Linked DNA regions of Lytechinus pictus. The protein of the gene in region 1 purifies or fractionates together with the protein of each later gene. This does not show direct contact. Links are inferred from orthologs where the notes say so. Each region holds a gene or a part of one and is shown in the gene's direction. Other genes may lie near its edges.

The links. The genes of interacting proteins can lie anywhere in the genome.
Region 2: the proteins of mortality factor 4-like protein 1 (region 1) and late histone H2B.L3 purify together in Homo sapiens (affinity purification with mass spectrometry, with the first as the bait; 3 studies listed by BioGRID). This does not show direct contact. The link is inferred for Lytechinus pictus from reciprocal best matches to the Homo sapiens genes MORF4L1 and H2BC21.

Annotation. Positions count from the first base shown.
Region 1 is NC_087249.1:20,518,523-20,525,451, forward strand, and holds the start of mortality factor 4-like protein 1, read left to right. Parts: upstream 1-3,825; 5' UTR 3,826-3,885; coding exon 3,886-3,916; intron 3,917-6,929. UniProt on the Homo sapiens protein: Component of the NuA4 histone acetyltransferase (HAT) complex which is involved in transcriptional activation of select genes principally by acetylation of nucleosomal histones H4 and H2A.
Region 2 is NC_087254.1:16,320,924-16,328,166, reverse strand, and holds the start of late histone H2B.L3, read left to right. Parts: upstream 1-4,241; 5' UTR 4,242-4,285; coding exon 4,286-4,653; intron 4,654-7,243. Other genes in the region: histone H4, read left to right, coding at 342-653. UniProt on the Homo sapiens protein: Core component of nucleosome. Nucleosomes wrap and compact DNA into chromatin, limiting DNA accessibility to the cellular machineries which require DNA as a template.

The DNA of each region.
Region 1 (6,929 bases):
GAAACAAACAAAAATCAACTTTGAGCGGACGATCGCGGAAAATATGGGTGAAAAAAATTCGGCCCCCCCCCCTATTGGCGGAAGCTGGATCCGCCCCTGTACATGTACATGCCACAATCAAGTTATCGACCTATTTACTTAAATATAATACCCTGACGTTATTGAAATAGTTGATTGACCTCTAACCCCTAAATATATTTTTCATGGCCATTATTTATCCTTATATTTCAGAGTGAAATTATTGAACTTCCAGGTTTTCATTACAAATAGCCACCTTTCGTTCTATTTTTTACAAATAAAATGTGAATATAATGGATTAATTTCTTTTTTGGGGGAATCATGCATGGATATGTTATACAGATATTGCCTACCTAGAGTTTGAATATAACATTTCCTCTCCCCGACGGAGTTATATTTTTCCAAAGGGATTATATTTTGCCCGAAGCGCGCAGCGCTGAGGGAAAATATTCTCCCGAGGGAAAAATATAGCTTCGGAGGGGAGTTGAAATGTTATTTATTAAAACGATAGTCCAGGCAATATCTGTCATATTATATAGTCTATATGGATCAGAGATTAATTGCCTTCATCATCTGGCCCCAACCCGAAATTCTTGCTACAGCTCTGATCCGTCTACGTCATAATAGAAAAAAATTGGAAAATACATCAAGCGCGTTCTTCATGCAATCGACGCATTAAAGGGATGGTCCGGGCTGAAAGTATTTATAGCTTAATAAAAAGAGTAGAATTCACTGAGCAAAATGCTGAAAATTTCATCAAAATCGGATAACAAATAACAAAGTTATTGAATTTTAAAGTTTAGCAATATTTTGTGAAAATAGTCGTCATGAATATTCATTAGGTGGACTGATGATGTCACATTCCCACTTGTTCTTTTGTATTTTATTATATGAAATTAGGTTTATTCAAATTTTTTCCTCCAAGAACTAGAAAAATTGGATTGACAAATGATTTAGTGCATTAGATATTTATTGCTGCAACTTATTTCATTATAAGGGAGACATTATTATTCACACAAGTATGAAATAATGAAAAAAATATGATGTTATGTAATAACATAAGAAAGCGGAAAGTGGAGATGTGACATCATCATCCCACCTAATGAATATTCATGACTACTGATTTCACAGAATATTGCTAAACTTTAAACTTCAATAACTTTATTATTTGTTATCCGATTTTGATGAAATTTTCGGCATTTTGCTCAGTGAATTCTACTCTATGTATTATAAATAAATAATATAAATATTTTCAGCGCGGACCATCCCTTTAACACTAGCGCGTACATCAAATAAACTACATGATAACGCAACTTGTAAGCAGCGAGTGACGTCACCTTAGTGAATATAACGCCGCAATTGAAAATACAACGCAGTTATATTCACTGAGGTGACGTCAAAACCTCGAATATACCAAATGCGATCCTCGCAGCTATGATCACGTGATGGCGTATTGACCTATCACTGATTCGAACCTACATAAGCTATGTAATATAGATATTTATTAACTTTTGACCTTTGACTTTGGATATCAGAAGTGAATGATTATTCTTTATGATTATTTTTTGCCTTTTTATATATTCTTGCAAAATTGCTTTTGGCACCAAAATCACCAACATGCAGTGTTTTATCTCAGATATATCATTATACGATATATATCCTATGTAAAAAGGTCATTGACCTTTTGACCTTGAACTTTATGGATTAATATGCATTCTAGGTGATTAACTTTATCTTATTTGTCCTTCCTGTAATAAGCTGTGCATTTTGACACGACGATCACCAACCTAGCTGCCCGGGGGGGCACTCAGTATATAATGCATAGTGGGTATGTGCCGCGGAGGGGACCCCCATTACACTCAAATTTCCGTTCCGAGGCACAGCATTTTTGTCTTATTGAGAAAAAGAACAAAGAAAGCCGCTCCAGAGCATAGCATTTTCTTCTTCTCGAGAAAAAAGAAGAAAAAAATCCGCTCCAGGGCTTCGCGTATTTTCCGTTACGCCGTTCCGGTCGCAATTTTGGTGAAAAGCGGCCGCAGCTCGCTGTCCGTCGTGCCGCCGGATTAGCTCCATGTACGTTCCATAGGGATGCATACGCACTCGCACGCAGGCGACCCGTTCCAAGGACCCCCGTTTTCACAAACATTTGTAGTTCCGAAGCTCGTTCCGAGGACCCTCCTTTTTACAATGAGCCCGCTCCAAGGCCCCCGTTTTTTGTCTCGCCCGCGGCACACCCCTTCCACTTTTTTGGTCGAGTGCCCCCCCCCCGGGCCTAGCTGTGCCGTTCAATCTCAAAGATACTATTATACAGTAGCCTATGATACGTAATGTAAAAAAGGGTAATTGACCTTTGAAAGGCTTTGACCTTGAATGCTATTGTTTAATGTGCATTCTAGGTACACTATTTTATTTTATTTGATCTTCCTGTTAGAACCTCTGCATTTTGACGCCAATTAAGATCACCAACCTGCACCTTTTCATCTCAGAGTACCGTATGGTATAATGTATATAATAAAGGTCATTGACCTTTGAAAGGCTTTGACCTTGAATTTCATGGGTGAATGAGCATTTTAGGTGCTTAATTTGATTTTATTTGATCTTCTTTTAAGAATCTAGCTGTGCATTTTGACACCATGATCACCAACCTGTAATATTTTATCTGGGAGCTACCATTATACAGTATATTTGAAAAGGTCATTGACCTTTGACCTTGAAAAATCCCACAGACTTTCCCCAACCCGTATTCCTCCTAACTTTTTTGGTAAATGTTGACATCACCCATATACCTACTCAAATCAGTCCAAAAACCATTTCCAATAATTTCATTCCAGATGGTTACTAATATAATTGCGGGATACTAATGGTGCTGAAGTAAATTAAGTCAAAAAGGGGGGGTCAGTTACAAAATGAAGGTCGTTTTGGTTCAAAGAAGTCTGACAAGCAAAAAAAATAAAAAGGTTAGTTTCAACACGAAATTTTACATATATTTATCTAATTGACACACCTATACCAGAATTCAGGGGGTGCTGCCTATGAATAATAATACACGCAGCATATCCCCTGGGAAAATATGGGGGCAGCACCCCCGCTTCCTAGGTCCCGTGGGGAAAGAAGCTTCCTCTCAAGAAGGCTCCAAATCAAAGCAGTGGCAAAAATAGTCATTTTTTGACTGGTTGCCAACACGTACACCACAAGACAGAAGAAGAGGGCCCTAAGTTCTGCTCGGAGTCAGTCAATAGAATAAACTCAAGATGAAATAAACTCCGTAAGTCGTTATAACGAAAGAAATTTCACGAATTTTCGCCCATAGGGCTTTGTCAAGTTAGGATCAAGATTTGAAATTGCGTCATGATAAAAACAGTATGCGCGTACGTAGCTATAGCTAGTGAGAGAGAGAGAGGGGGGGGGGAGGAGGGGAGAGGAGGAAAGAATATATATAGGCCTATTATAATTATTATTATTATTATTATTATTGTTAGCATTATTATCATTATTATTAGTAGTAGTAGCAGTAGTATTATTGTTATTATTATTATTGTTATCATCATTAATATTATTATTGTTATTATTATTATTCATTATAGGCTATTTTTTTGAAGTCCCATAATAAGAAATCAGAGATTATATTATTTGACCGAGCCACATGATGATTGATAAGTAGTATATGACATAGAGATATATTACTTGTTGTAAACGGACCCCCCCCCCCCCCCCTCCACCTCCAAAAAAATTGTTTTCCTTCACGATTACCTGCACATACACGCAGCGAGCTAGCGCTCGCGGCCCGCGGCCCAGCTAGGCAGCTATCGCTAAAAATAGCGCAGCGTAGCGTCAAGGTAAAAGGTCAATTGATGTCAAAGACCGACCATGGCACCTGTCAAGACAAAGTTTTCGGAAGGTAAATGCTATGTTTTATGTGAATATTTCATTTTTATTTTTATCCTGCATGTATTATGCGGAGAGATACGTTAATTTGTATTTTGTAATACTTTTGTAATCTCTTTCTTACTCCGATATTTCAAGAATTGTTGAAAGATCGCACGTGAAATCCGTGAAATGCAAGCTTTGTTGGAATACGGTCCCACATGTGCATTCTCTCGTAGGCCTAGTAGTCGCTATAGTAATATAGTAATTAGTATAGTCACGTATTGTATTACCGGACACTATTCACTCTAGGCGACACCCCAATACTTACCCGTGCTAATAAACTGGGACTCCACTCACGCGCGTTTGGGCCTCCCTAGCTTAGAACTAAGCACTAATATCACCTTAAAAACTAAATCTACAAGGTATGTATAATCTATTTACAAATTTAATAATGTTTAATCGGTACTCACCGGTTCTTTTGTTGCATTTTCAGACCATTTCTCACAATTCTTCGTAAATATTTGCGGCAAATTTTGTCGCCATAGACAGCTTAGCGTCCATCTTTATTGATAAATGGAGCGCCCTTTACGATAGTTGTTAATGCCGCGGAGAAATCGTTAGGCATTTTGGCCTGTGTTCAAGGCGTTCTTTCTGTTTTATTTTTTATATTGAAGATTGTGCATTTGTTGAATAGCGCCGTCTACGTCAGGTATGAGATCGAGTGTATAAATACACTCTTCCAAAATAATTATGATTCCGACCTGGCGCTGTTTAACTTCAATCTCTTTCACCTAAATTAGCGATGAATGCTAGCATTATAAAATATATATTATTAACGTCTGACGAAAAGAATAACCAACCGATCAGCTGACGAGAACGCGAATCACGTGATCTTCATATCAGCTTCGATCGCGAGTCAGAAGAGAAGAGCAGCTGCCCAGAAAATCAGGAAAAAGCCGTGAAAATGTAAGTTCCCCTTCATTTCTTTCATTTTTTGTTGTTGCTAACGATGCATTTACACTATAAAATTATAATTTAAATAAGAGAAAGGAATTATAGCTTGTACTTGTGATATAATGTTTAAATATCCTGTTCTCAGAGATTTCTAACCAAAAATACTACTGATGTCGCCTATGAGGTCCATACATGTAATGTTGGACCTCATTGGTACTAGGAGTGACACTATTATAATTCCGGACGCGCATATTACTGCGTTCGAAAACCATTTCGTACGGTAAGACTTCCGCAATTCAGTTTCACAGAGCAATACATAGAACAGGATTGCAAAAACAAGGCGAAAAAAATCCAACTTTTAACTTATTATCTCTAAAATGACAGAAAATGCTTAAAATATCAAATAACATAGTTTTGCATTAACAATTGATATATTTTCTAACGGAAATATGGGTCTGATCTGCCGAATTTCAATCTCGTCCGCTCCTTCGATCGAATGATGAGGTGTGGTGTAAAAAAATGGGTGATCGTCGATGGCTAGTTCTCAAGGTACCCGTGCGCGAGGTTTACCGTGACTTTGTGAGTATAGAGCCGTCGACGATCGGCAGCGCATCGATAGAACTTGATGAGCGTCACGATACGAACGAGCATAATATTGGAAAGTTCCATGAAACATGCATCTAACAAGAAAAAATAAAGTAAGTTATCAAACACGAATTTATTACCAACATCTGCTCAGAATCGATATAAGAACAGCAAACAAAAACTTAGAATTTACTCATGATATGATATAAGAAGAAAAAATCACACAAATTTGTTCTTACATCATTATAATCAAGAATATCTTTACCCGTCCGGCGCGCGTTCAGAATCATGATGTAATTTGTCACGCACAAACATTATTGTTTTTCGTGGAGGGGTATGCAGCAAGTGCGATGCAAAGAAACAGTTGGTAAATATCAAATAAATTTATATTCATAATTTTCGTAATTGGAATAGCAACTAGCAAGTGCGAATTTTTCTTGAATGTATTTCCTCTAATTGTCATTTTCAAAGCACTGAAATATAGGTGTAGCAGAGCTGCCAACCAGTACGTATTTAGTATGTTTTTTGCAATCAAAATAAGACTGGTCAGGACAGTACGTTTTTTCTTTTAAAAATATGATTTTCATAAAACTTACACAATGTAATTTCAGGTAACTTGGTTTTTTTTTTTCAATCATTTTGTTAAAACCAGGGTGAGATATACACGTGTTTCAATGTTGTTTTTTTCATCTGCAAGAGCAGTGTGCATTTAAGCTTGCATGCAGCTTGAGCGCCTCGATGAGCGTGCATGCCACGCATTTTATTGTGAGATACATTTTTTGGGGGGAAAATACTTTTTTTTTATCACAGAATACAATTTTTCATTTCCAGAGGTTCCAGAGGTCTGGTGAAGAGGTGTAAAGAATACACTACCATACCTAACACGGGGCTCCACCGGGCCGTGGGCACTCGTTCAATGAACAAGGTTATGATATAGCCTTGTTCTCGGTTATGTGGAGAAATAAGGTTGGCAATTTTGGGCTTATTATTATCTCTTGTTCTTAGGGACAAATGATTGATTTTTTCAAATTGTCATTTTCCATTGATCACAACCACTCAATGAACAAGGTTATGATATATTGGGGTCGGGACAAGTCGGACTGCGAGCCGAGTTGTCCCACCCCTTTTCTTTTTTTTCCCCCCAATTTGTGTCTATTTTTCAGTCATTTCAAAATTTCTTGTAACAATTTCTTGGAACAAGACCTTCTTTCCTTGTGACCTCTGGTTAACTTTGTGAAGATGTAGATCTAACCAGCGGTAGATATACCGAAGGGTAGTACATTCAAGACAAAGTATCTCTTCTGACCATGGAACTCCAAACAAAAACCTAGATATTTCCTATGTTTTTCAAAATTTCCACATGATGGTATGCTGATTTAAGATCATATGTGAAAATGTTATCCCCTCATTCAAATAACATCACTAGCAACCGAGGCATCTTCGTACTTAAATTTGTTCTTGTACAAATGTGGATTGATATGCCTACAGTCTAAGACTAGTCTAAG
Region 2 (7,243 bases), on another chromosome or scaffold:
TTTACTAAATATTTAAAATTCAGAATTCAAATGATAAGAATGTTGGTATAAAACAATGCGAAACTGTCATTTGTACTGTGCGTTTACAACATTTTTGCTAATTCTAACATTTCGAGCATTATAACTCATGTATTTTAGTACTACATTGCTACTTCAAGATACCGTTGATACACGGATGCAAATAACATGTTTTAAAATATCGCCCTCTACGTTTGATGAACAGAGAGAGCTCATTGATCCAGAGAGCATTACTATTCCTTCGACGTCCGGAATAGGGGTATATATACTGGTCGAAATCCTACCACGTCAATTCGACTCGTCGATACTAAAGAAATCTAATCATGTCTGGACGTGGTAAAGGAGGTAAAGGACTCGGAAAGGGAGGCGCCAAGCGTCATCGCAAGGTCTTGCGTGATAACATCCAAGGAATCACCAAGCCAGCCATCCGTCGTCTTGCCCGCCGTGGTGGTGTCAAGCGTATCAGTGGTCTCATCTACGAAGAGACCCGTGGTGTCCTCAAGGTCTTCCTTGAGAATGTTATCCGTGATGCCGTCACCTACTGCGAGCACGCTAAGAGGAAGACCGTCACCGCCATGGACGTCGTCTACGCCCTGAAGAGGCAGGGACGTACCCTCTACGGATTCGGAGGTTAAGAAGTTCATCTCTTCAAACCCATCAACAAAACCGGCTCTTTTCAGAGCCACCAAATATTCAAGAAAGAAACAATTTGAATGTCTCTTTATGTGTTATAATTATGTACGGGCCCTAGTGAGAGGGTTGGGAAGAAATTAAATTAATGAACACACCACAGCTAAGGCTTCCATTTGGTTCCAATAAGGCAATATTGTCTTTAATCAGACTTTACTATAGTCTATAGTTTAGATCATATCCGTAGGGTATTTTTTTTTAATCCTAAAGTAAACTTCCCTGTAGTCGCTCACTAGAATTCCAATGAGATTGGATGTTTAAAAAAAATTCTTAATTCCCAAGAACAAAAACGGTTACCGTTCCAATATTTTAGCAGTGAAGCGCAATAAAACAATAGTTATAGACCCACACGGCCAATATACATAGGTCCATTGTCAGACCTGTAATCTTGACGCCCGAAAGACGCAGACGTGACTTGGATTACAGGCACACGCGACGATTCCCAGTTGAATTTCAGAGAGAAAGAAGAAAAACGGTGATAAACCTATTACAAAAACCATGGACCTATTACGCAATAGGTCCATGCAAAAACCTACACTTCTCATGCAAATGGTCGCATGTCATAAGGTGGTCCAATTTCGCGAACGGTAAAATTGGTCCAAAAAAATGATATGTTATAGGTATTACCATTCTGTAAATAATGACAAAGTTTTAAAGGTCAAGTCCACCCCAGGAAAATGCTGACTTGAATAAAAAGAGAAAAATCAAACTAGCATAGTGCTGAAAATTTCATCAAAATCGGATGTAAAATTAGAAAGTTATGACATTTTAAAGTTTCACTTATTTTTCACAAAACAGTGATATGCACAAATAGGTGAGTCAGTCGATGATGTCCATCACTCACTTTTTCTTTTGTTTTTTATTGTTTGAATTATACAATATTTAATTTGTTATAGATTTGACAATAAGGACCAACTTGACTGAACCATATAGTATTAAACAATGCTAATTTCACCTGTTCAGGGAGGAATTAATCGTTGTATCACTTGACAATGAGGAGAAAATTAGAATATTTCATATTTCGTGTAATAAAATACAAAAGAAATAGTGAGTGGATGACGTCATAGTCTCCTCATTTGCATACCAGCCAGGATGTGCATATAACTGTTTTGTGAAATTAAGCGAAACTTTAAAATGTCATAACTTTCTTATTTTACATCCGATTTTGATGAAATTTTCAGTGTTATGCTTGTTGGATTTTTCTCTTTTTATTCAAATCAACTTTTTGTTGGGGTGGACTTGTCCTTTAAGTCTCAAATACCTTATTTTTTCCTTAAAATGACTAATCAGCTAATTACTACATAGAAGTCGATGTAAATATGAATTTTGAAATGGATTTTTCTCAAATTGGACCTGCTGCACATAAAATGGTGTCAAAAGTTACTGCAACATTGGATCACCCTATAATATTTTGCACTTTTAATCTTGAAACATTAATAATTAAATCTGTAACAAAAAAAATCAAATAATTATCTGTTATTATATGCATATTAAGTACACTAATTAATTAACAATATTTAATTTAACATTTTTGCCCCAATGTATATGCTTGGAAAAATGACTACATCATTGGTATAAATGTTTGTTGCAATGATATTACACAACGTTTGTACTAAAAATTAAGTTTACAAATTAGATAATCAACCAAATATCTCCAGTTTACTAATGATTAGGTTGCAGATCAGAGCTGACATACACATGTATTTCATTCCTTCATATTTTCAAAATTGTCAATTTTATATAACATTTAGTTGTTCCCTGATTTTAAAATGCCTAGAAACATATTACATAATTATTATATCAAGTTGTTATTTAATTAACATTCCATCATTCACCGCATCCACCGGCTCCGCCACCCCTGTTACTTCAAACTTTACGTGCTATATAGTTTTTGTTTCTGATATTGTACTGATCTAATTAATAGTAATATGTTTAGCCTATAGTTCTAGCTTCAAAATAAGATCTTATACTCAATAAATTTGGTCAAGATCTGATGTAGTAACAATTTATCCAAGGCAACGTGGGGAAAATTGTTCATCCGCCACACTTGGCTTTTTGCATACCCAACTTATGAAATGCGACCAAATATCGGGCCAAATATACTAACTGGGGTTGGTGAAAACATATAACATGTATAAAGGCCAGTTTATTCCTTTGCCATTAACTGCAAATTTGCCTTTTAATAAAATCGAAAAACAGCATGATAATTTTGTTCAAAGCTAAATTTTCACTTCGGCGCCATTTTAACGCTACAGGAGTGCAAAATTCTCCTACTTCATAGATTCGGCGATGTTTTGTACGCACGCGGCCATGAATCTTATACGTAAACTATATGCATAGCCCATTTTGACTCCAAATATCAATCATTAATTTTTGACATGTTTGGGCTATATAAAAAAAAATCTCCCGAGTGAGCATGTTACGTGTATAAAATCTGAAATTTGCCATGCAGTATGTGACCCATCTCTCGATCGGGACTTTTGTCTGACATACAACCCAGTTTTTATCACTACCAAAAATATTGATAATGATGAAATTAGTGACGATTTCATGACCTTGATACAATTAAGATACTGTTTTTTAGTTTTGATCAAGGTTTATAGACTTAATTATTGGCCAAAATATATGAATTCTAGTTTCTTTGGTCCTGCCAAAAATTGTTGGTAAATCTAGCTGATCGACCAATGTAATAAGGCCATTATAGCATACAACATTATGAATCTAATTAAGAATTTTGGTTTCAAGAATCCCAGGGTTTCAAGTAGTGTCTTCTTTGGTGTACCTCCAAATCCAGTTGACGAAATCTTCCAAAACCTAGACGAATTTAAAATGTTCTTATCTGATCACATGATTGAAAATGAAATTTCTCAAAATATATAGCTCGATCTTTCCAATATGACTTCAGTCAATTAAACATTTATTCAAAGTGAACATGTATTATAGGCCTATAGTATTGGTAATAGTAGCCCTTCCGATACATGATTGTGGACAAGACCGTCGAGAAGTAAAAAAGACAAAAACAACATGAAACTTGTGTTGTGATACTTAAATTTAAAACATAAGCCCATACATAAATAAAAAATGAAGTTTTAAAAAACAGTCATGTCGACAAAAGTTTTAAGAAATAGAAGATATCACAAATACACAATAACTGCAGAACCCTGCATGTGTGCTTCGATAAATTTGATATATGACTTGATAAAATCATTTCGTTTGACATTTCATAAATGAAATAACTTCAATGCATTTAAAAAGAATATGCATAGCGTTTAATATTTCACACATTATATACCACTCTACCTTTTTTTATCATGGAGCTATATGTTTTTTATACACCACTCAACAACCGAACAAAGGGTAAAACCGTTGGGTATCCCCGCCACCTCTATTTGCATACGTAATTGAACAGCGCTTGCGCACTACACAGCTCTGGGTCACTCGCTGGTCTTGATTGGCGAACGCTAGAGCGCACACGGTCCTAATTTACATACGCACCCGGTGCTTTCGGACCCAGCGTTTGATATAAATACTCGTCGCATTCAGTTGATTGTCAGTATTCGTAAGAATCTTAATCGTCATGCCTGCCAAAGCTCAGACCGCTGGAAAGAAGGGATCGAAGAAGGCTAAGGCCCCCAGGCCTAGCGGAGACAAGAAGAGGAGGAGGAAGCGAAAGGAAAGCTACGGAATCTACATCTACAAAGTTCTGAAGCAGGTTCACCCCGACACTGGTATCTCAAGCCGTGCCATGTCCATCATGAACAGCTTCGTCAACGATGTCTTCGAGCGCATCGCCGGTGAGGCATCCCGTCTTGCCCACTACAACAAGAAGTCCACCATCAGCAGCCGTGAGGTTCAGACCGCTGTCCGTCTCCTCCTCCCCGGTGAATTGGCCAAACACGCCGTCTCTGAGGGCACCAAGGCCGTCACCAAGTACACCACATCCAAGTAAATTTGGTTTGCGCCTTATTTACCAAACGGCTCTTATCAGAGCCACCAAATCTCCAAGAAAGAATCATTTTGATTAATCTCTCGCATAACTTTTTTTATCTCGCTTACAGAAACTTTGAAATAAGTCATGACAAAGCAAGATCCTTAGATTAACTTTATTTGCAATTGAATTATTTGCTAAAGCTTAATCATGTTCATTTGCTGCATTTTTTTTACTCGGTTTCGTATTTTGTCACTCATTAAAATTCGGAACACTTCGGTGACCGAGAAGTCTGGGAAAAGGTAACAATATAATTGTGTATTTCAAATTTCGAACCTAATTAAACTAAGTATAAAAAATGGGAACGTTATTAATTAAAATGAAGTCTTAATGTATGTAGTTTATTTTCTGAATCGATATAATATAGCCTTATAGGGAAGAAACCATACCTCCAAAAAAGAATTATTTTGATTTAAAGCTCTCACCTAACTTTTTATTAAATCTTGTTTACAGAAACTTTGAAACAGTTTAAATTAATTATTAATTAAAGTCATGACAAAGCGAGACCCGTAGAACTTTTTTCATTTGCTGCAGTCTTTTTTGGCTCAGTTCCGTATTTTGTCACTCAGTAAAAATCGGAACATTTCGGAATCGGTGACCGACAAGATAATGGGAAAAAGTAACAAAAATTGTGTATTTCAAATTTCGAATCTAATTAAACTAAGTATCGTGGGAACGTTAATTGGAATGAAGTCTAATGTAGTTTATTTTCTGAACCGATATAATATTACCAAATTGATTAAATAAAACAAGTCTGAGCTATTTCAGAGATACTCCTTCATTGCGTTTAATATAATAATTTTGTGTGGGGATTGATAACACATAATATATGGGTGGGTATAAGGGGCGTTCTGCGAACAACGGGAAAATTACTGTGTTCGCCGCACGCGCATATAGACTCGTGATCGTCACAGATTGAAAAGGGCGTGCGGATCTGATCATAGTGAGGACATTGAAGATTTCTCCATAGAAAGACCGGGCATGAACTGTTAAAATGTGAATATTAACAAGCACAATAATTAATGTACCAAACTATCAATTAAAAGGGTGCATGTACCCGGGGCCCCCGCGGTACCCAAATGATATGTTACGACGATCGGGGCCGGCTGTTCAAGGATGAAAATGCAATGTAAACATAATGCATGGCAATAATTAGGCAGTCATGCTTAATTTTACGTTCCCTGTAATAAAGTGAAATATCACGCACAATTCACAATCTTTAATTCTATGGGGCATCTATGGAAATAATTTAATTCCGTGCACGTGGTACTCTTGGAAATAAAAGAAAGTTTCGTATTTTGCAAAAAAAACTAACGTAAGAGGGGGATATTGTAGTTTCCAGACCGGGTTCCAGACAAAAGCATCTCATCAACACATTGATCTGTATCCAGATTTGAAATTGAACAAGGCATTTACCATACATTTTCAGGGGCAAATAGTGCAAAAATTAATAGTGAAGAAAAAAAAAACAGATGAGAAAAAGAATATATAAAAAACAATGAAAACGGAAGAAATAGAAGAAAGAGAAGAAGAAGAGGAGCATGCAGGGGGGGGGGGAGAAGAAGAACAACGAGGAGGAGCTAGCTCGGGGAGGAGTGATGGAGGAGGAAGGATTTTAGGAAGGAAGGAAGGAGGAAGAAAGGAAGGGAGAGGGAGAAGGAGGAGTAGGAAGAGGAGAAGAAGACGGATGGTTGGAAGGAGGGGGAGGAGGATCGAGGATGAGAAGAAGAAGGAAAAAAAAGAACACCAACAACCCCAACATACTGTATGTCATCTTAGCCCCAGTATCAAAAGACGGCGCCGCTCCTGTATATACTTATATTAAATAAAAATAGATTAGTTACTGATTCATTGAAAAGAAATACTATTACTATGTATGATTTTGTATGGCCTGTATACTCTAAATAAAATAAAAAATAGATCCAACCGAATATTAGTTTTTCGTATTCAACCGTCCGGATTGAATAAAGCTAAAATATTTGAACAGTTTTTAGATTTAAGAGTTAATCCTGATCACTTTTAATAGATAGTTTTGAGATTTAAAAGTTAATTCGTTTGGTCACTATTTACAGCCGATATGAATTAATTTTAATCCTTGAAATGTATACAGTGTATTGTATTCTCAATCATTTTCTGATATTTAGAAGATGAGAAATTATATTTGTCGTTGAGTAGTTTTGGAATAATTAAAAAGAGTTCAAGTTCTTCCACGTTTTCGATAGTTAATTGTGAAGTCAGGTGATAAAATATTACATTCAATAAAGCTTCTTTTTTTTGGGGGGGGGGGGCGCTCGCCAGACATTGTGGTGTTGTTGTCTACATTCAACACAGGAGTGCATTTATTTTGTTGCGGGGTTCACAAATGTTTGATCACAACTGTTTATTATCTACCACACAAATAAAAAACACTTTCATTTTTAAAGATAGAAACTTGTTTTGTATTTATATACACAATATACGGAGGATTTGCATGCTTGTCTCTTATCATAAAATAGAAACTTCAATAATTCATAACTTTATACTTTGGTGGATTTTCATCAAACCTTC